Oryza sativa Japonica Group: one gene and its partners. The main gene of each other region encodes a partner of the protein of the gene in region 4 in a complex. Links are inferred from orthologs where the notes say so. Each region holds a gene or a part of one and is shown on either strand. Other genes may lie near its edges. The genes, in order: sm-like protein LSM7, sm-like protein LSM5, sm-like protein LSM8 and sm-like protein LSM2.

Region 1 (5,778 bases), about 1.5 Mb from region 4:
TTTGACAATTTATTTGGATTTCACCAGTTTGTATGTTTAGTAACAGATTCCATGAAATCTGATGGTATCGCTCGTGAGCAGATTTTGATGATCCGGTAACAGATTCCTGTCACTACTGTCGATTGAATAATACACAATCCGAACAGGAACTCATTCTAAACAGGGCAGAAGAATATGCAATCTATGAAGCTTCACATGGCTGCTTAAGGTAATGATCTGAATCACCTGATGCAGGAACAGCCACCAAACGGAAGGTCACTCAAATGCCTAAATTAACTCTGTTCTTTTCCATGTCTTTTTCCGACTGTTGCAAACGCAGTTTATGCAGAAGAGACTGCAAGCAAGCTCACAGTCACAGATGGGGCAAAGGTGAAAGCTGAACCAAGCAAAGAAACCAACCATGCACAGTATATGAACAAACCGAACAAGAGCATAATGCGATTCATATATCTGACACAAAGCAAGGATCTTCAGAAATCAGTTTCGAGTGGTACAGAACAGACCACCACCTGGTGTTCATAAGAGACACGAGTCATAAGAGACTGTGGCACCAGATTACATGAGTTAATACAAAGGCCTCTCTACTGGGAGAGCATGGATCTTGACTAGGAGAACCATCAGCTCCTGCAGGTTTATGCACCATCAGATTGGAAGGGGTTGGCAATCTCGTCCGTTCCATCGGTTGGCGATACAAGCATCACCGCTGTACCCCTACAGACCTGCAACAAACAGTCGTTGGAGCTGAGGTGTCAGGATGATGAAACCAGCCAAAAAGAAATCAAATGGCAGAAACAAACTAGTAGTTTGCAAGAAACCAAGCTCTTGATTTTGAGATTATTTTTGTTTAATCACTGTTTTGTTGTAAATCTGATCGAATCAACATTTCCAGAAAAAAAAAAAACTAGTGCAGATTTCAGCAAAGTGCAAAATAATCGTATAGCATGGAAATAAAAACTCTCAGAGCTTCCTTCTCTTAATGAAATGATACACACATCTCGTGTATTAGAGAAAAGAACTATCAGAACTACAATCGGCAAGCAATATAAATAATATAGGACAAAGATAAGTCCTGGATATTGAAATCAATACAGTCCTGGATATTGAAATCAATACTGCAAAGAAACTTACAATAAGACCAAGCTGTCTGGTTTTCCCTGATAGTTTCAATGGATCATCTTGCTCTACAAAATGAGAAAGTATGTATGAGAGCTTCACTAAACTTTGCAGGAAAAGATTTAATAAGGCATTTGTTATCTACAACTGTACCACACCTACATTAGCAAGTAGTACTCCCTCCAGTCATGATTGTTTGACAATGGGAAAACTAAAATTTAGTCTATGTGTAATTATTATGCTGTATTCCAGCCCAATCTTCTTTGTACATAACAGTAGATTAGCACCACATAAACATACAAGATGCATGAAGGATGGAAATTTCTTCTTAGTTAAGATTCCAAATACATAGATTTGTGATTTATACTCAAAACTCCAAACCAATGGGGATCAAACAAAACAATGCAATGTATCAACATATGCAGCAGTACCTCTTTCAAATTCAACCGCTTCATCAAGCACCAAGTTTAGAAGCTGGTCATAGCCCTTCAAAGTCCCTGTAACTGCAGATGTAGAAATACCAAAGTTATGGCCTGTGATGTGGTATTAGTGTATTATAACAAACTGCAGGATAACAAAAACGAGTTTTCTGGAAATTGAAACAGTTCTACTGTCATTTTTTAGTCTATTTTCAATCTTTATCTTAATATCAATGCTAATGGCTAACCTCCTTGCAACTACTATAAACAATGTCAAAACTTAAGATATTACATAAGGGGCCGCTCATCTGCTTGACGGAGTTTCTATTTCAATATACAGTTAGCATATGATATTTTACCACTCTGTCCGTAAAATGATACTGAAAAAAGAAAAAAAATAAAGGTGAAAAGTCATCATATAGTTATCAGGATAGCCAACCATGAGAGTGCCTTCACTATCTAGATGAGGTTAGCTACAAACAGAATACAAGGTGTAATTCAAAAATATGCAATCACAGAATCTGGTATCTGTGAGCATACAGATTGAAAGTAAAAAACTGGAAGAGAAGGCGGTAAGCTTCTAGTAGGGCCAAATCCTCTCCACATGCACATATTGGTGTTGCTGAAATTCTGAATGAATGCAAGTGGAATGCTGGTTTATATGTGGTATCATACAGAACACTGGAATCAATGTTTAAGGGATTGAGCGGAGCTCATTTCCAGACTTATTCATTATGAAAGAATATTAAGGAATTAGGAAGTGTCAATTGATAAAGTTGCTACTCGTTAATTTTAACTGGGTGGCGGATGGCCCTTGGACAGCAGGATCCATCACAAGAAATGCTAAAAGATGACCAATTTGTGACAAAACCTTAATTTACCAACCACCATGCTTGAAAACTCACAATTATGTGCTATAAGCATTCAGAGGACATGTTAAAACTAGCCACATGGATGCTGCGCTCGACATCTCAGATCATTACTGTGGACTGGAGCTGATGCGCACAGTGAATTTTACTGAAATAATTAGTAGCTTCTTCCAACCCCATCATTTAGCCTTCAGCTTATAAGCGTAAGTGAAAATTTGAATTTTAAAACTATTATAGAGTTGATTTTGGTGATTTTTCATCGTAGTTTCTTTTGTTCAGCATTTGCTTTTAAATCACCAAGAACTCATATATAAAAGTTTTACCCATAAATTATATTTTTAATCGCTAATTAAACCGTTTCACTTATAATGAGGCTGTTCGAGCTGGCTATACCCTACTCTACAATTTTGCTGCAGACCTAGGATTTCCTGCCCCTGCCACTGAGGTTTCTTGGCACAAAACTATACCCACATCTACGAGTATTCAAGAATCCAGACCTAAACTGGTGATGAAACCAACCAACCTTGCCTGCCGCCGGTGAGCTTGACCTGGACGCCCTTGTCGACGAACTTGGCCAGGTCCAGCACCGTCTCCTTGCGCCCCGACTGCTCCACCAAGACACGAAACCGGAATCAATCCCACCAAACCAAACCAAGAACTAGCACCCGGGATCGATCCAATCGAGCACCCGAAACCCCAGGAGGGGAGAAGAGGGTTTACAACTTACCATCCCGGACCTTAGCCGCGGCCTCTGGTCGCTTCAAATCTGCGAGGCAAGGAGGGAAACTTTGTCAAATTTCGCTGCAAGATCCGAGACGACGGATGGGAGAAGACACGGCGCCCGCCGGCGACGGCGGCGGCGGCTTACCGGAGTTAGGGGGTGGTGGCGGCGGTGGCGGATGCGGGGGTTGATGGTGTTGTGTTTTTCTCTTTTTTTTTCTTCTTTTTTTTTCTTTTTCTCGCAATCACTTTATAGAGGTATAAGGAGGACTTTTCTTATTGGGCCTTCAGCCCATTTTAGAGATGAAGCCTAATTGCTTCAATGTGTATGATTTGAAGCCCAATTAATGGGGTGTTCCTACTGCACGCGCACGCGCCAGAACGGGAAGCCGCGCGTGTTCCTACTAACCCTAGCGCTTACCGTGTAAAAAAACGCAGTACATTTTTTTTTCATGTTCGCACCTCTTTTTTTTTCTCTGAGCGCGTTTTTTTTCCTCCGTTTCTTTCCGATTTTTTTTTAATCTTTTGCACACCTCTTTACAAATGTAGAATTGGAAAGTTTTTTATTTTGACTTGAAATTTTTTAATTTTTGTATTGAAAGTTTTTTAATTTGAGTTGAAAATTTTCAAATTTGAGTTAAAAGTTTTCAAAATTGACTTGAAAGTTTTCAAATCTTGACTTGAAAGTTTTTAAATTTTGTATTGAAAGTTTTTAAATTTGAGTTGAAAGTTTTTATATTTGAGTTAAAAGTTTTCAAATCTGGCTTGAAATTTTTCAAATCTAGGATGAAAAGTTTTAAATTTGGGATGAAAAGTTGAAAGTTTTTAAAATTTAACTTCAAAAACTTTTCAAATCTAGATTGAAAGTTTTCAAATCTGGATTGAAAGTTTTTAGAATTTGACTTCACATATATATTTCTTTTCAATTTATTACTTAAAATAATCTTCGGAAAAAAGACAAATCTTATCTTAATTATTATCATTACCTAGAACTAACCGAATCAGTTTTATACGTATAGAGAAAAAATTCCGAAAAAAATAAACGCGCGTCTCGCCAGCGCAAGCGCTGAGAATGGCTGAGGATGAGACGTGTGGGCCGGCGCGTGCGCGCCAGGGGCGCGTGCGCGCCAATTAGGATTTGCGCAATTAATGTGATGAACAACTGAACTATTTTTGCTCTAGTGAGAACAATTGAATATACGATACTACCCTGTCCCAAAATGTTGCCTAGATTTATAATGGAAAGTTAATATATTTTGGAGCGAAGATAATAATATTTTTTCCTAATAAAAAGATTATCTTGTTTTATTAAAGGTAGAGATAAAGTTAGGTACGAAAAACAAGAAAGTGTTGCGTTTTAATTATTACTAAGTTGAAATAATGATTTATCATGTATTTTAAAATAACTTATATATAAAATGTTTTCACATGGAATATACTGTTTAGCAATTTGAAAAGTATGATAATAAAAACCAACATAAAAATTACTATATCTTAATGGGGGCAAATGGATTTTTTATACTAAAAATCAACGAAAATAGAAGAAGGGTTGACTCTTTCATGAACTCTATCCAAACCATGACAATTTTTTTAAAGTTTTTTTTTGTCAACTATGTTTCAAATCTAAAGTAGATATTAACCAACTAATTGTTTTAGCTATGAGTTGTGTATATCAATGCATTAGGCCTGTAGTTTTGCTAATCAACTACTAGATGTTAGATGTGTTTTTTAAGCTACTAACTCCGTCTCAAAATATGTTACATTTAATATTAAAATTTATCATAAAATACAACTAATAGAATTTTCTATGAACCGTTCCATCTCAACCAATCACAATTTTTCTGATTTAATTTTTTCACCTACTTTTTTTTTCAACCAACCATAACTATTTCTCACCCTAACATTAATGTTTTAAAAAAGAGAGTAGGTAGTTGTATTTTGAGATAGAGGAAGTGATAAACAACTTTCAGAACAAACTTTTATGTCTGAAAAACACATGGTTGATATGCCTAGTTTTATAGTCTTAACTTTTAATTTTTTGGACCTTAAAAATACTCCTACATTCTTATAGAATATAGAGTTTAAACATTTTTTTAACAAAATGAAACAATCCCAACTTCCTCATAGCTCTAGATCCAAAATAATTTTGAGCTAATGTCATTTTAAACACGAAAGTAGCTCAAAATAATTCTTGAGAATAATTAGAGTTTTAAACACGACATTAGTATAAGTAAAAACTATGACCCTAGTGGCTCAAAATCCTGGCTCCGCCCCTACATCCAACTTTTATTGAATAAACAAAAAGGACCTTAAGCTGTGGTTTTTGAGTTTTAGAATTTAATTTTAAAGGTAATTAGTTTTTTTTTGCCGCTACTTTTTCTCCGTCCTCAATTGTACCCGGCCCTTAGAAGCATAAAATTTCTTCATAAAAAATATTATTCATCTTTATCACATATCTTCGTTTTAGAGCGAGTTTAATAGTGTAGCCAACTTCTTTCCCTAAAAATTTAGATATCATCTACAACCACTTTAATAGCCTCTGTATAGTTTTATATAAACATATATTGCACCATTAATACTTGGCCTACTTTTTATACATACACAATATCTTATCTTAAAGTTCGTGTTATAGCTGGGCTACAAATCTGCAGCACTTT
Region 2 (5,751 bases), on a different chromosome or scaffold from region 4:
GACGTAGGGGAGGCGGCGGTGGCCGCGGATGGGGACGGCGTCGGAGAGGAGGCCGAGAAGCGGCTTGGCGACCATGGGGAGGTTGGCGGACGCCTGGAGGATCTGCAGCGAGGAGGCGGCGACGCCCATGCCGTCCTTGAGGAAGAAGTTGACGCCCAGCCATGGGAACAGCCGGAACCCCTGCACCCAGAACCCCACCGCGATCACCCACCGCCGCGTCGCCTCCACCCTCCTCTCCCCCTCCATCTTCCTCTCCTTCTCCATCACTCCTCACTCACTCACCCACCCACACCACCTCCGCCGCCGCCGCCGCCGCCGCCGCCGCCGCCCAAATCTTCTGATCCGCCGCCTCTTCCTCCCCCTCTCCCGCTCCCCGATCCAAGAAGAGAGTGGGGCGCCGAGCCGGTGATCCGTTCTTGATCAGGGAGGGGGACACGTAGGAAGGGGGACGAGAGGGCGCGGGGGTGTGAAGTGTTAACTGGCCGGATTGTTTTAGTGGGCACAGCGCGACGCGAAGGCGATGGAACGAGGCGGGGGCACACGCGGCGACAGCTCGGCGTGCGGGTAGGCGCGTGGTGGAGATGGGAGGAGAAGAGGAGCTCGTCGGCGCGGGCTGGCCTAAGCCATGGGCGGATGTGACTGGGCTTTTTGGTCAGGTGCGGTGTCGTGCTGGTGCTGGCCACATCACCACATCGGTGGTCGGCCATCTGGGCTGGGTTTTCAGTGGGCCCACCGCTTTGTCCAATAATTCAATTGGGCCAAGGCTGTCAGAGAGGCCGACTAATAAATTCTGTTCGAAATTGAGCCTAATTTATATCTTTTGAATTTAGGCCCAACTTATATTTCTTTGGAATGAATAAGCCCAACTAATCAATAATATTATTTTCGTGGAATAAGTCCACTTTGTCTCCCCTAAAAGTGACCTAAATCTAATCCATGATCATAAATCGCAAAACCGGATATCTCGGCCCCCGAACTATTAAAACCGGTGTAATTTGACTCCCTTTGTGGTTTTGAGGGCGGTTTCGCTGACGTGGTGCTTAGGTGGCATTTGAATTAAAAACGTATATGTGGGACCCGTTTGTCATTCACACACATAAAAAAATTGTGGGGCCACCCACATGTCCTGCTCTCTCTTTCTTCTTCCTCCCCTCTTCCTCCCTTCTCTCTTTCTTTCTCTTTCTCTTCTCCCCCCTTCGGTCGGCCACGGGGAGCACGGGCTGGAGTGGCAGTGGCGGGGGCTAGAGTGGTGGTGGCCGGCGAGAGCTGAAGCGACGGTAGCGGCGGAACTGTAGCAGCTTGCTCTGGCTGACAACCAATTGACCGACAGGATTCCGCCGAAGATGGTAGAGATAGGGAGGAACCCTGCTCCGACTTTCGAGAAGAACCGGAGGGATGTTAGCGTGCTCGCACGCCTCCCCCGCGCACCCCGCCGCTGAAGGGGGTAGCTTCCACGCCACACACTCCAGCGCCCTCCCCCTAGCCCTCCCGCCTGTCACCGCCGCCGCCGCTTCGGCTCCCACCCACTGTCGCCGTCCCTGCCCGTCGATTGCTCCACGAGAGAGAAGGTGAAGAGAAAAGGGGGAGACATCAGCTAAGATACCGATTCCACAAAATCCCCCTTGGCCGTGACCCGTTCAAGGATTCATAGCTTCTCTTACGCGTCGTCTTGCTGTCAGTCCAGCGCCGGTGAAGGGTACATGACTTACAGTCATGGCGGTGGCGGCGCTCGGCTTTGTCACCCTCCTCGCCTTCTGTTTTTTGGGTTAGTTACTCTGAATCTCTGATTAAGATCGTCTTTGTTGACAACACATACTATATCTCAGTGCTATAACTCGCTTTGATCCTTTACATTGATGGAACAGCGCCGGCGGCGTTGATGTTGGGGTACTACCACGACTCGCCGGAGCTAGTCGTCGTCGGCTCAGGTTGCTCGAGGCTCGTGGAGACGAACTCGTTCATTGTGCAGGACATCAAGGTGATCATCCTCCCGTAGCTCGGTTCTGCACGAGCTCAGTCGAAGAGTGTTTTAATGTGTGCACTCGCTCTTGCAGGCGAGGACGGATGGAGGGTCGCCGGAGAATGGGTTGGTGCTCTACGGGATGCCGGTCGCTCCGCCTCTCGGCATCCCAGCCGCTTGGTCGGAGGCTCGCCGCGCCGTCGTACCAGCCGATTCCCACATGTCATTTTTTTTGTTTGAATCACATATGGGTTCCACAAATAATTTTTTTTAATTCTAAGCCACGTAAGCGCCACGTGGGACGAAGACTATGTCAACATTGCCACGTCAGCGCCACATCAGCAAAATCGCCTTCCAAAACCACGAAGGGAATCAAATTGCACTGGTTTTAATAGTTCGGAGAGTCACCCTATCTGATTTTACGGTTGAGGGTTATGGATTAGATTCGAGTCACTTATAAGGAAGTTAAAGTTGACCTATTCCTATGGTGCTTGAAACCTAGCAAAAGAAAAAAAAAGTGTGATATCTAATCGACGGCTGATTGCTCGATCGGACGGTGGAGAATACGTCTCGTGGGTGGAGTCGGCTAGGGCGCAGCGTTCGCAGTTGGAATCCTCCACCCAAAGCAGAAGCCTCCGCCGCCGCAGCGCCGCTACTCTTGCATCGCCTCCGCCGTAGCCGCGCGCGCCCTTCCCGTCGCCGCTTCCACCTCGATCTCCGCCGGAGAGGGCGTCCGCCGCCATGTCTCAGAACAACCCCTCCCAGCTCCTCCCCTCAGGTGCGCGGAAGAAGCTTCGCTTTAGTTTCTTATAAATCTCGCATCCTAGCTTGCTAACTTTGTTCCAGATAGATTTTGTTTTTTGGGGTTCGAGTTCTTGATTCAGTTCTTGCGGGCTTTGGTTTGTGCAGAGCTGATTGACCGCTGCATCGGGTCCAAGATTTGGGTGATTATGAAGGGTGACAAGGAGCTCGTCGGCACTCTCTGTGGGTTCGATGTGTACGTCAACATGGTGCTCGAGGACGTTACTGAGTAGTATGTGAAAAATCTTCCAATTCTCAACCCTATTTATTTTTCTACTTTCCGCGCCAGGTTTTTTTCTTGTAGGGTAATTTTGGTGTCACAGTCGTAGGGTAATTTCGGTTTCTTCTGATTAGATTCTTAGATTAGTTTAGCTCAGTTTCTCACATTTGTGTCTCAGTGTGCTGATATTGGAATTAGCTAAAATATTTAGAAAACATTGTTTGATTTTCTGAGAACTGAAGTACAGAAATATTGCCCACCTTATGCCAGATTGCTCCTACCTTGTTGCTTTGTTGGTTACTTTCCTCCATGTCATCAGGCAGATTTCGTATAACATGAGTTTGTATTATACTACCAATCATCATAGTTGGTATAGTGCAAGCTATTTTTGATCCTTTCAGTACTCATGTCATGATTGTTAACCCATTGTGTGCTTCAATTTAACTCACACAGACTTGGTTTCATGAAGTTACATAATTATAACATTTGCTGCTCTTATCAGTAATTCAGTATACTTAATATAACTGAAGATTTTATTTGTTGTTTAGTACTTAAGGTGTAACGCAATCACTAGTCTGTCTGTTCTAAGATCAACTGATATGAACGCTTGATTCCAAAGAAGCTGCAGCAGTGGAACACACTGTTTTGTAGGATTTCTGCTGCAGTAACATGTTCATCGTTGTAGTTAGTATTGTCTTGTTTGGGAATATTATTTCTCGCGGAAGGGAAGACAAGCTCTTTTCATCATGATTTATATGGTTATTTATTTGTGGTATAGGACAGAATGATAGTTGATAGCTAGGAGGGAATTGGTCATGTAAAAATGACTAAAGATATTTAGCAGATGGTGGCAGTAGGTTTCCATGAGTGTTATACTGATGCATCATGTATTTTGTGCTAGCTCTTCACAATTGTTGCATTAAGTTTATACTAGTCCTCCCAGGTGTTGATGTATTACTTTGTTTTCCCCGATATTACAATGTTCTATTATACCTGAATTAGTTCTAGAAATATTCATATTCAGTATCTTAGTAGTTTGTAGAATGCACATGTGGATGTTGTAACTATGTTCTTAAAAAGAGAGGTATTTCCTAACAACAAAAAATATCACAAACATATACTGCAACATAATGATGGTTGTTGAGCCATCTTGCAGAAGGGGCTGAAGTGAGCGTGTTTTAGAGTTTGTGTCATCTGATTATATACCATGACTGAAATCTATATGATCTGTTGATGTGCAATGTTTCACTAGTCCCCTAATAAAATGCTGGACCTAATGGTGGAATTTATTCCTATTAGCTGAATATGAAGTTACCACCATCACCCTTGCCAAACTAATGTATCATCTAGGAAATCACTTAGCAAAACCATACTGATGTTTATTAGTTTTTTTCACTTGCACATTTAGCATATGTATATGTTCAATATGAAATTATAGTCTAATGTTTGTTGTTTCATGATCCTCTGATTGTTTTATAGTGAATACACTGCTGAAGGCCGTCGCATAACAAAGCTTGATCAGATACTCCTAAACGGCAACAATATAGCTATTGTGAGAAATCTTGATCAAATACTTGTAATGAATGGTTTGGTAAAAGTTCGGTGTGACCTGCTATGTCTAACGCTATTTCATCTTTTGTTTGGCCTATACAGTTGGTTCCTGGTGGTTCTCCCCCAGATGTGGCATAAGCAAGCACTTCCGTGATATACCTGCTTGAGGCTGATGGAGGCACAGACCGGTGTTTCCTTACTTCAAATGTATTTCTTCCATTTGTGGCTGTACTGAACTTTCTTAGTTAACTGACCTGAAGTAGTGTACCTGCAACAGTTGCTCCTACATGATTTGGCAATGCTAAGTATGAGGTACCTCTTGTAGCTGTTTATTACCATTCTTCTGCAACCTGACTCAGTAAACACTAGGTGGTTGAAGAAACCTGATAATGGAGAGCATATCTACAATTGTTGTATTTGTGGTTCAGCAGTGTTGGACTTGATAATCTTTTTGCTGCATGCTTCCCTACATGTCTCTTTCCTCCTAGGAGCTATGTTAAATCTGGGATTAACGCCTTCTCTATGAGATAATGTGCCACTAGGAAAAAAAATACTGTATTTAATCTGAGGCGATCATGATATACAGTCACTGTACCCTAAAGCTCTGCCATCCGTTCATTCTCTGCATCTTGCAAACGACCGTAGCTTATCTTACACCCATGGCAGCCGCTCTTAGCTCCCTCAAGTAATGGACGGTAGTACGGTACAAAATTTCTTGGTAATGGACGGCACCAAATATATTTTCGCGACTTTGGGGGTGGGGGTGGGTGGGTGAGGAGCATATCGCTGTGATTTGGCAGTAATAGAAACTTAAACATCATGACTTCGGGGGTGGGGGCGGGTGGGTGGCAGTAAAAGAAACTTAAACATCATGAGTGACTTTTTTTTTTTGGCAGTAAAAGGAACTTAAACTGAATGACTTGGGGTGCCATCGTACGAGTCTACGGTTTTTTGTATACAATTGGACTTCAGGAATGGTTTGTGTGATTATGTTAGTTAGGGTGCCCATACAATCAGCTCTATTTTGCTGCTTCACACATCGTGTGATTTTTGTATACAATTGGACTTCAGGAATGGTTTGTGTGATTATGTTAGTTAGAGTGCGCATACGATCAGCTCTATTTTGCTGCTTCACACACCGTCACTCGATGTCACACCGACGCCGCTACACCGCTGTTGCTTGACACACCTAATTATTAGTTATATGACGGCACCGCCA
Region 3 (5,467 bases), on a different chromosome or scaffold from region 4:
ATATGCAGTCGTAGCTAGCATATATTAACGGTTTTTCTTACAAAAAAGATAGCATATATTAATCTGTCATACTCATAACCATGTCAAGTGGCGAAGAAATTAAAACAGATATTAAGTAATTGAAAGCAAAGCGGCCGCAATTAACGCAACAGAACAGAAGAGGGCCCCGCGACCGCGAACGATCGAGAGTAGAATGTCCAGGTGTGTGGAGCCTAGCCTAGCACAAGGCGTACACACGAACAGGCCGGAGAGGATGGATGGAATCCAAGCCAAACAAAAAAAAAAAACATTCCTTCCGTCCGTTGGCCGTTGCAAACAGGTGCTCCGTAGTTGTAGAAGCAGACGAGACACGGCAGGCAGGCAGCAAGCTGGTAGAGCCAGAGCCCAGCCAGCTGCCCTGCCAGTGCCCGGGGAGGTTAGGCTTTGTTGTTTGGACAGAGTGGCCGTGCGATATGATGATATGATCGATGCAGAGAAGAAAAGAAAAACTGCCTAAACTTGGCATTGGCATTATTAGTTCGTTGTTTATGGTTGGAAGAGCGAGAGGCAAATCCAAGAAAAGCAAATGGCAAAAGATGAGCTAGGATATAAGAAGCCCATTAGCACTATTGGATTGGATCGGATCGGCGGGCGGCCTCGTCCTCGTCGGGACGACGGCAGACAATGGCCGCCGCCGCGATGATCCTCCCATTACTATTGCTATTGTGTTGGTTTCTGCTGCTGTCTGTGGGCGACGCGATGTGTTGGTTCAACGACGACGCATCAGCATCGGCACCAGCGGGGTGGTTGGTGTCGTGGACCAATGGGATGGGTTGGTACAAGGGGATGCCGCGGGAGTTCGTGGACGGCCACAACCAGCTGCGCGCGCGCTACGGGCTGCAGCCGATGAGGTGGGATAACAAGCTGGCGAGGCAGGCGCGGCGGTGGTCCGACGCCATGCGCGGCGACTGCCAGATCCGCCACTCCACCGGCAACAGCTTCGCCGAGAGCCTCTACATCGGGAGGAACGGCTGGAACGCCAGGGCTTCCGACGCCGTCCGATGCTGGGGCGACGAGGAGCACCTCTACGACAGGGACACCGGCAAATGCACCGCCGGCGTCGACTTCCACGAGTGCGGCCACTTCGCCTTCATGGTCAGGCCCAACTTCACCAGGATCGGCTGCGCCCGCGCCGAGTGCTTCAACGGCGGCGTCTTCATCACCTGCAACTACTTCAAAGACGAGCAGCACCAGCCGGCTACCCCTCCCACCTACTCCTAATATGCTCTTCTTCTCTTCAACAACTGACCTGCCTGCCTTCCTCATTCATGTACATTGATACAGCTGCACAAACAATACAATACAATGGAAACCAAATCTTCACTCACTGAGTCACTGTGTCTGTGTTCGTGTTCAACAAACATGCATCACCCATCCACCACCACATAAAACCATAACATTCTTCTTCATGCTCGCTCATCCGCTTGCTGGACTTCCTCGCGTACGTTAAAGAAGTTCACTCATCGGCAACACTAGCACCCACTTCTTCACAACTTCTGGGACAACACTACATTTAGGTTTAGCTTACTACTAGTAGTAGTACATCATTCATTCGTTTCCATTAGTGGATCACGGGCTTCAGCGGGTGCGCTCTCAGATTCGATAGATCCAGCCTCGCATCCAGTTCTTCATCCACCTCCCCCACCACGCTGCTGTAAATATGCATCACCCACGGATTCAACTTCAGTTAGGCACACCACCAAACAAAATAACACATCCATAAACGACCTCCATGCAGGTAATTAATAAGCAATAAACAGCTCAAACGACAATTGAGGAAATAGCTTACATGTTGTCGCCCCTTATGATGTACAACCCAAGAACAAGCTGTTGCACTCCCTCCTGCAGGTACAACACATTTCTCTCATCACTACTCAAAATTTCAACTGTACTACTAACAGCACATGCCACAAACTAAAAGCATGACAATTTAAAGGCATTGGCCCCTAGTCCTTAAGAAGGCATATCCCATATTCAATAGAGAGGTGCATGATACGAGACATATAACTATTCATAGTCAACATTGCCTGCAAATTGTTAGAACAACAACTCTGCACCATAAAGAACAAAGACATTCCAATACCTAACTATTGAAGACAAAAAATAATATGACTTCTGAAAAATTGAACGTGCACAAGGTAGAATTAATCGAACCAATCCTTGAAGAAAAAGGTGCTGTTATGACAAATTCAGCTAAAACATGTTACAGTATAAACTCATTATTTTGCAGGAAACGAACTTCAGTTCATACTGACAGTAGACATGATGATAGATACGAACAGTCAACAATATGAACTCATTACTTCATGATGACATTTATAACCATCATGAAAGAGAGCCATCTTTGAAAACAATCTGTGTTTAGCCATAAAGGGTACTGTGTAATACATGTTGGCAACTAACTTTCAAGCACCATGAGAGAAACTTATTGCTGATTGCAGAATTCTGCACTAGTGAACCAATGAGAGCATTTGACAGCAAACCAGGGAGAAGGTCACAATTAACAAGGACATACTGGAATAACAAAAAAAAATTGTGTGGCTGAACTTGTAGCCTTAGCAAACAGGCAACTCTATGGAAAATGCCAAACAGACTGTGGTAGAGATTCTAAACGCAGAAAAATTTAGCAGAGTAACTAACTGTAAGTATGACCGCCTTGTAAACATAACTTTATGAAGATGGAAGTAAAGTGTGTGTTGCCGGATTATCAGGGCATATAGTACTAGCTTAGTGAAATATTGATATTGCTGTAAAATTAATTGAAGGTTTGCAAGATAGCATGAAAGAAGCGTAGAAAGAGTTGGGAGCAACCCTACCCTGGTAGAATAGACCCTCTCATGGGACTCATCGAGGATGATGTTGGTGGCTTGATCGAATCCTCTGAGTGTCCCCTGACGAAGCGGAGGCAGGGCAATTCGAGTGAGTATTAGCGAGAGCCAAAAAAAACAAAAAAGGTGTACGAGTAGATCAAACAAGGGGCTCACCACAATGTTGCGGCCATCGTTTGTGATGACGGATATGATCTCTGGAGAGAAAAAAAAAACATCATCTATCACTAGTAATAGTAGGAGGAGGAGAATCTTGGGTAGCTGGGTGAGATGAGATAAAAAAAAAAGAGGGATGAACTCACGGTCGACGAGCGATTCGAGCCCCGGGCCGGCGGACGCCATCCTGTAGTTCAGGTGGAGTGGGGTGATTGGGGAAGCCGCCGCCGCCGCCAAGGGGATCGCCGGAGTTGAGGGGATGCGGCGACGATTTGTGTTTTGGAGAGAAGAAAGAGATTGAAAACCCTAGCTCAACTTCGTCTTTGGAGTTGCCGAGCGGGCTTTTATATGGGCCATCAAATGCGTGGGCGGGCCTCTCCAGCCCAGCTAAGAGAAGCCCAGCCCACCATGAGAGATCCTTCTCTGCTCCCCCTCCCGTCGTCATCGCCTCCCCAAATCACATCACATCGCGTCGGAGAATCCCTCTCCTCCCGTCCCGCCGCCGCCGCCGACGACGACGACGACGTCCAGCCCTCCTCCGTAATCCCCCACTTGTTGGTGAGTGACTGAGTGGTGACCAACTCTTGCTCCATTGTTTCTAAGATATTTTCTTCTCCCTTGCCCTACCTGTTCCTCTCTCCAATCCAAATCTCTCTTTCTAGGACGGCTGCTCCAATCGATTTTATTGCTCATGTTTTTCTTGGGTCCTTACCAGCAAAATCTTATAGATCACCCACCTATTTTGCTCTCCTTGCTTACATCTACATGTAAGAAAAAAAAATAAACAAACATAAAACACTGCACCATCCTGTAAGGAACTAGCCCCTGCAAACAAGCTAATCATTGACGAGTTTTATGTTAATGCGACTTGCTAGCTGCTAGGGTTTTTGGCTAGTCTTCGCCGTTTTTTGGGTCACGTTGGTTCTCCACTATGAAATAACACTACAGCAGCACAAAAGTAATGCAGTAATAATATCTTATAAAGCCCAAAGAAACCACCTTACAAATTACAAATCTACAAGCACGCAGACGCAGGAATTTCTTTATGTAAATACTAATTTGTCAGTTGCCTACGTGCTACTTGAAGATGCAAATACTGCACAACAAAGACTCTAGTGTACATAAATTTATAGATCTAGTCTTCTTTAATCCTTCACAAGTGCATTTTTCTGTATTTTACCAACACATGCGCATAATGTTTTCATTCTCATATGCACAAAGTTCTAAAGGCAGCTACTACTTTCAGACTACAGTACCTTTTGTTCATCTCAATTGGCATGCAGTACACTTCTGACAACTAGTTACTGATAACCTATTATACTTCACACTTGCTTGATTTTGTTCTATGTCCAATACTTTACTGTCCTTTTTACTGCCTGTTTTAGGGCCTGCACCTTGTGGTAGCCACTCTTTAATCAATGGAGAGCACAGAGCCCCTACAGGTAAACTCCTCACTTTGCCTTCTAGTGTTTCTGCAAGTATTGGTTTTTTCAAATACCGAATTTCCTGTTAGTGTTTAACTGCGATGATCGGTTGCTGTTGATTTGAGATCATGATTTAGCTGCTGCAAGTTCCATCTAAAATGACATTATGGGCTGTTTGGTTGGTATCAACACTTTGCCAAAAGGATAATTGAGGTTGTCTTTTGTGGTGGACAAATTCTCAACTATTCGCAAATCTTGCCAAGTAATTGAGTGTATGACAAGTGAGCCAGCTGGTTAAAGAAAGCCTGACAGAAAATGGCATTGGTAGTACCATGTTAATGGGCTGTTTTGTGTGTAATATGTACAAAGGCCTGAACCATGTTTGGACCAGTTTTTCATCGTACATGATACAAAAAAAGAAAAAAAAACATAGATGTCTCTTTTGTATACTAGGCAGTTTGTTTCTTTATGTTTTAGTTCTTTTCAGAAAACTGGGATAGAACTTCTGTTAATCTTTGCCTGCACTCTAAAAGGCCAAAATATTTAGCTAGCAATTTGTAGCAAGAAAATCTTCTGATAAGAAATGTAGGTTGTGTATAGTGAGCTTTCAGTAGTTCAGTGAACTGAGTTAATTTTCTGTTGCAGTGCATGGTGCTTATTGATCTATCTCAAATTAAGATCTTGTGCTTATTCAGAATCTTAATGACCTATATATTTATTTTTGCCATCTCATTTATCTCTGCTATGATATAACAAGGTGTTGAGCTTCTATTTAAAAACAATCTCTCATGTGTTTGTCAGGATATCATGTGCGAGTTTCGTGCGGGTAAGATGTCCCTTGATGGAACACGAGTGATCCCAGACACACGCAAGGGTCTTGTTCGCATAGGAAGGGTATGCATGCTAAAAGTCATACTTATCTTGAATTGAAGTTCTGTACTTCTATTTGTCCAGTATAACTTATAAGCCATTTGCATTCTCATATTTTATGGGGATTTGCAGTGCAGTTAACATATCCAC
Region 4 (5,424 bases):
ATGATGATGAATTTTGTTTCATTGTCACGATGATCACTTAACTCTATAGTACTACTTTAATTTGAGTGTTTTTCGTCGCAAGCTTTAAGATCAAAAGCCACTACTCATATTGTTGCAAAAACACACTATTCCAATATAGTATTATACGAATTCCTGAGCTCTCGAATAAGTAGGTTCACAGTCGTTTTCAGATTTTAAGTTGGGAAAAAGTTGCGACGCTTTAACGTCAAGTCGCATTCATCCAAATTCTGCCTAATAATTTCTAGTCATTGATCATTGACCGGTCAACAACAATCTGCTGAACTGGAACATGCAAATGTGCAGCCTGTTCTCAGGAACATGGCCTGAAAAAACATCTCAACTAACCAATGGGCACCGTTGATCTAACAAACATTGATTGGAGTACACAAGAAAGGGAAGCAGCATATGGCATCGCCAAATGCAATCTTTGGATAGTTTTGTCACTGCAAGTATCAGGAGGAATTGCTACAGACTTTTTTAACTCCCTGTCAATATTGCTGTCTGTCACACCATACTCCATACATGTCCCCCATACATCAGATTTAGGGCTCCTCCAAGGGCGAAAATACGGTGTGGATCATCAGCCTCCGCGAGCCTCCCTCCTGGTGGCATCATGGAGGATGTCAATGTCGACGCCATCCTGGGGAAGCAGCACGTACCGCACCACCGATCCCCTGATGAAGCAGTTTCGCACGGATAGCTGCCAGAGCGAAAGCTTGAGTCAGCATGCTCAAATGAATTCTTTGTAAAGTGTTAGTGCTTGATTAATGTAGTTCTTCCATATAGAACAGTGAACACAGGTGCGTTGTTGTATTTTTAACAATAGAAATTAACAGGTGCAAGTGGTAAAGCAATGAGAGTATGAAGATTGTTTCAGCAAGCAAAGATAACAAAAGGATATGAATCTTTCCATCACTATCATGACCTACAAAACACAGTATATAACATTGATCTATAGCTTTGCTTTCCTTTGGGATTACTTCAGGCATCATGTACTTGTAACAACTAACAAGCAATCTTTAGTAACCTATGCAGTACAAAAGTACACCCTTCATACAATATCATTGGATGGAACTGAAGGCCAAATAAATATCTAGGTACGGATACTGGTTGTCCCTGTCAAGTAATGTGCTTGCCTGGTTACAACAGTATTTGCACTGGAATTACCAGTGCATCTTAAGCTCCTAATTCTGCACCAGTAAGGCATGTCACGAACTAGGTATACCACTATATGATCTACTCCCCATTAATTCCTAAATTCATGTCAATGTAGCCCAAAGTTTGTTCTACAAACATTTAGACATACCGCCTTTTATCATTAGCTGGTGACTACTTCAGGACATTTACTACAGAACCATTGATTGGAGTCAACACACCACTGTGTTATGGATTGGCTAAGGTAAGGGTCTGAAGACCAGGGGATAGGGCACTCGCCCTCTAATAGCAGCGGCAGGACTTCTCCCTGCTGAGCTGAAAGACTCATTGATTAGAACTCTAAGGCTTAGCGCTAACTTCAGATATTAATTGATTATAGGGTATATGGGGTCCCTTTATATATAGGAGGATAGACTTGACATCCAAGGAACTAATCTCTAGTACTACAGAAACCAATCCAATATCTATCTATAACTTTCTAATAAACATCATCTCTTTCCTAACTAGATACTCTCCTATCTTTATTTGACTATTCCTAAATTATCATGCCTAAACTGCTGCATGGGCCTGGCCCATGCCCAAAACAACAGAGAGTAACAAGTGATCTAATGAAGAGTAATATCTACTATGGTTTATAAAGATGGTTATTATTATCTTCCTTATGCATACTCTTGGTTGTGGGATACTGGGATCCTATAACTGACATTTTGGGCCTCACTGTATGCCCAAAGAAGAATCAGCTGCTGCCATAATTTGAATTTTAGAACTTTTTTTTTGGAGTTGATTTTAGGGTATTTTCAACTTAGTTTCTTTTTCAACATTGGCTTTTAAGTTGCTAAGAAGACATATAAAAGTTTACCCACAAATCAATTTTTGGATATAGTCAGCTCTTGGCCAACTGACGGAGCTCCTAGTTACTAACGGAGAGTGTTACCTGATCCATATCCATATCGTACTTCTTTTACTTATGCAACTACATGTCAGACGTGCAACCATTCTGAATTGTGATACAGCATTCAGCACTAACTAAACATGTAAGGATCATGCTAAAGGTACTCCTTTAACAGATTAATAAATCAACAGATGACAAGTACATGCTATGCAAACAGAAGAGAAGAAATCTGAAATCATGTAGAATGAGGTGATTTTGAATGTATCCATTAATCTGACACAGACCAATCACAAGAAGCATCATGATCTGCAACACTGAATGGCATGGAAGATGTAGCACAGGCATTGGGGCTCCTTCAGAGGATAGTATTCTGACAAGCCCGGGGTTAGCACCGTGCATGAACCAATATCTATGTATAAATCCTTTTGAAAGAAGGCAGTGCGACCCCACCTCCATGAACTACATTTTAATGAATAGCCCCTTGAAGTTCTTCAATACTACTAAGTCAAAATATAGCTACTTTTGGTTATGACTCTGGACAAGTACTTGTCCACATTCACAGCCAAAAGTAGTTACATTTCAAGACGGAGGTAGTACATAATAGTAATTACAAAAAATGTTATAGTCCTATTTGACCATTTTGACCTTATCAAATTGACTGAGTTGCCACATGTACATGTGTGTTGTTCAAGCTAATTTGGAATAGAAAAATGTGTAAACACGGTAAAAAGAAGTGAATAATTAATCAACTGAAAAACCATAGCAAATGCACAAACGCACATGCATATTGAAGTACAAAACCATGAAAACTTCCTAAATCTATCTTGAACAGAGAACAAAGCATACAGAGTCAATATATCTACAGAAGACCACCGTAAAGAACCAAGAAACACTGTGTTTGCTGCAGAGTCAATATATCTACAGAAGTACCCATGCAAACAAGCGGCTAATTGCTATCCATATTTCACCAGGACAGAGACAGACAGATAGATAGATAACCAGAGCAGCATCGCATCGCATCGCATACCATGTGCGGGTACTTGTCCTGGTCGACAACCCGAGTGTTCTCGAGCTTGATGTTGAGGTATTGGTCGACGGAGTGGAGCGTGCCGCGGATGGCCAGGTCGTTCTTGAGCTCCACCGTCACCTCCTTCCCCACGAGCTCCTTGAAGTAGGAGAAGAACAGCTGCACAGCAACCAAATCAACAGAACAAAAAATAAAAATCAACACAAACTAACAGAACAAAAAAAATGAAGTGGGAAGAGAAGAAATCAACGAGCAGTTGAACAAAAAAAACTAAAAAAAATATTCTACCATACTGGCCGCAGAACCCTCCCCGCCTTAGCTCCGAAGAATCTGCAGACGCAAGAGGCAGGATTAGCACCCAGTGGACGGGATCCCCAAACATTTTTGAGGGGCAAATAAAAACAAAACTTCTAGTCCTATTATTAAGGTTTAAGGCTATCAAATTAAGAGAAAATCAGCTTCTCCCAGATCTAGAAGAGAAGATACAGTTAACGCAGGCAAGCAAATTGGACACAAAAGCGGGTGGGTTGGAGAGAGAGAGGGAGATGAATGAGAAAAGAGGATGCGGATGCTCACCAAGAAGCAGCAGGACGACGGCGGCGAGCGCCTCTCCCCCTCCCCTGGTAGCGAGATGGAGATCGGCGCAGGCGCAAGGAGCGGAGAGGATAGACCGGACCGCCGGAGATGGAAGCGCGGCAGCCGGATCGGGAGGAGGCAAAACCCTAGAAGAGCGCGAGAAGGCGGAGGAGGAGGAGTTGGGTTGGGTTGGGTTGGGTGTTGGGTATGAGATAGGACCAAACCATATTATTATGGGCCGGGTTAGGGTGAAAGGCCCATATAGCTTTATTTATTAGGAAAAAAGTATACTCTGACTCCCTCAACTATCACCCGAGTATGATTCATGTCCTCCAACTTCCAACTATTAAAACCGGTGCAAACAAATAAACAATATCCCTCGGTGGTTTTGGAAGTGGTTTTGGCTGACGTGGCGGTCTTGACCGAGTCTTTATCCAACATGGCGCTTACGTGGCATTAGAACAAAAACAAAATTAAAAAATGTGGCGCTTACGTGGCATTAGAATAAAAACAAAAAAAATATGTGGGACCCATATGTCATTCACACAAAAAAGTGGGACTCACTGACATGAGAGACCACATGTCATCCTCCCTCTCCTTCCCTTCTTCCTCCTATCTCTCTCTCTCGGGACTCAGGAGCGGCGGTGGTGGCAGTGGCCGATGGGGACGAGGCGGAGGGGAGCGTTGGTGGCGGTGGTGGCAGGCAGCGCCAGCGATGACGGTGAGGACGAGGTGGTGGGGAGCGGCGACGGTGGCGGTGGAGAACGCGGCTATGGCCCGCGGCCACTAGGAGGGAGGAAGGGGTATGAGAGGGGAGCCGCCCCCGTGGGGGGTCGGAGTCAGCGTCACCGGCGGCTGGCTAGCGCGGCGGCAGCGGCACGAGCTCCTCCCTGAAGCACGAAGCACGCCCTCCTCCTCCTCCTCATCCTCCTCCTCTGCTCTCCTCCGCCACAATCGTCCCCGTAAACCACCTCTTCCGCCTTCTCCTCCTCCTCCCGACCGCTACCGTCGCCGCTCCCCTCCGCCTCGTCCCCACCGCCACCGCCGTCGCTCCCCACCGCCGTCACCGCCGCCACCGCTCCCCTCCGCCTCGTCCCCATTGGCCACTGCCACCATGAGAGAGAGATAAGGGAGGGAGAGAGGAGAGAGAGGGGGGGAGGATGACATGTGGGTCCCACATGTCAGTGGGTCTCACTTTTTGTGTGAATGGCATATGGGTCCCACATGTTTTTTTTGTTTTTATTCTAATGCCACGTAAGCGCCACGTTGGACAAAGACTCGTTCAAGACCGCCACGTAGGCACCACGTCAGCCAAAACCACCAAGGGGCATTTTTTACACCGGTTTTGATAGTTTAAGGAGTCAATATACCCGGTTTTGTGGTTGGAGGATATGAATTATACTCGGGCAATAGTTGAGGGAGTCAAAGTATATTTTCCCTATTTATTATCTCATGTGATTTTTTTCTCACACAAATAAAAAGGGAGTGAGACAGGGATGCAAGTGGAGCGGGTAAACGGGATTTTTCCCCCTCCGCTTATCTCACTTCTAATTTATTTTTTTTTCCAAAATTAACATGTGGGATTTATTTCTGACACTTATCCTACTTTTAATTTATTTTGCCCCTAAAGAAAAAGGGAGTGAGACAGGGATGCAAGAGAAGCTGGTAAATGGGATTATTTTTCCTCCCCTTATCCCACTTCTAATTTATTTTCTTTCTAAAATTATCGTGCGGGATTTATTTCCTTCGCTTA

What was found.
Region 1: sm-like protein LSM2 (region 4) and sm-like protein LSM7 share a complex: the UniProt entries of both Arabidopsis thaliana proteins name them as parts of the heptameric LSM1-LSM7 complex. The link is inferred for Oryza sativa Japonica Group from reciprocal best matches to the Arabidopsis thaliana genes LSM2 and EMB2816.
Region 2: sm-like protein LSM2 (region 4) and sm-like protein LSM5 share a complex: the UniProt entries of both Arabidopsis thaliana proteins name them as parts of the heptameric LSM1-LSM7 complex. The link is inferred for Oryza sativa Japonica Group from reciprocal best matches to the Arabidopsis thaliana genes LSM2 and SAD1.
Region 3: sm-like protein LSM2 (region 4) and sm-like protein LSM8 share a complex: the UniProt entries of both Arabidopsis thaliana proteins name them as parts of the heptameric LSM2-LSM8 complex. The link is inferred for Oryza sativa Japonica Group from reciprocal best matches to the Arabidopsis thaliana genes LSM2 and LSM8.

What each region holds. Positions count from the first base shown.
Region 1 is NC_089042.1:4,609,703-4,615,480, reverse strand, and holds sm-like protein LSM7, read right to left. Parts: upstream 3,430-5,778; 5' UTR 3,270-3,429; intron 3,168-3,269; 5' UTR 3,132-3,167; coding exon 3,129-3,131; intron 3,007-3,128; coding exon 2,925-3,006; intron 1,617-2,924; coding exon 1,545-1,616; intron 1,182-1,544; coding exon 1,129-1,181; intron 720-1,128; coding exon 633-719; 3' UTR 413-632; downstream 1-412. UniProt on the Arabidopsis thaliana protein: Component of LSM protein complexes, which are involved in RNA processing. Component of the cytoplasmic LSM1-LSM7 complex which is involved in mRNA degradation by promoting decapping and leading to accurate 5'-3' mRNA decay.
Region 2 is NC_089039.1:18,939,031-18,944,781, reverse strand, and holds sm-like protein LSM5, read left to right. Parts: upstream 1-2,555; 5' UTR 2,556-2,701; coding exon 2,702-2,738; intron 2,739-2,869; coding exon 2,870-2,993; intron 2,994-4,460; coding exon 4,461-4,533; intron 4,534-4,634; coding exon 4,635-4,670; 3' UTR 4,671-4,948; downstream 4,949-5,751. Other genes in the region: probable folate-biopterin transporter 7, read right to left, coding at 1-264. UniProt on the Arabidopsis thaliana protein: Component of LSM protein complexes, which are involved in RNA processing. Component of the cytoplasmic LSM1-LSM7 complex which is involved in mRNA degradation by promoting decapping and leading to accurate 5'-3' mRNA decay.
Region 3 is NC_089039.1:29,807,513-29,812,979, reverse strand, and holds sm-like protein LSM8, read right to left. Parts: upstream 3,343-5,467; 5' UTR 3,210-3,342; coding exon 3,170-3,209; intron 3,065-3,169; coding exon 3,024-3,064; intron 2,931-3,023; coding exon 2,856-2,930; intron 1,882-2,855; coding exon 1,829-1,881; intron 1,692-1,828; coding exon 1,601-1,691; 3' UTR 1,341-1,600; downstream 1-1,340. Other genes in the region: pathogenesis-related protein 1, read left to right, coding at 664-1,260; 26S proteasome regulatory subunit RPN13, read left to right, coding at 4,442-4,465, 5,249-5,341. UniProt on the Arabidopsis thaliana protein: Component of the nuclear LSM2-LSM8 complex which is involved splicing nuclear mRNAs. LSM2-LSM8 binds directly to the U6 small nuclear RNAs (snRNAs).
Region 4 is NC_089042.1:3,158,605-3,164,028, reverse strand, and holds sm-like protein LSM2, read right to left. Parts: upstream 3,820-5,424; 5' UTR 3,672-3,819; intron 3,426-3,671; 5' UTR 3,387-3,425; coding exon 3,384-3,386; intron 3,255-3,383; coding exon 3,096-3,254; intron 2,468-3,095; exon of another isoform or gene 2,326-2,467; intron 722-2,325; coding exon 602-721; 3' UTR 318-601; downstream 1-317. UniProt on the Arabidopsis thaliana protein: Component of LSM protein complexes, which are involved in RNA processing. Component of the cytoplasmic LSM1-LSM7 complex which is involved in mRNA degradation by promoting decapping and leading to accurate 5'-3' mRNA decay.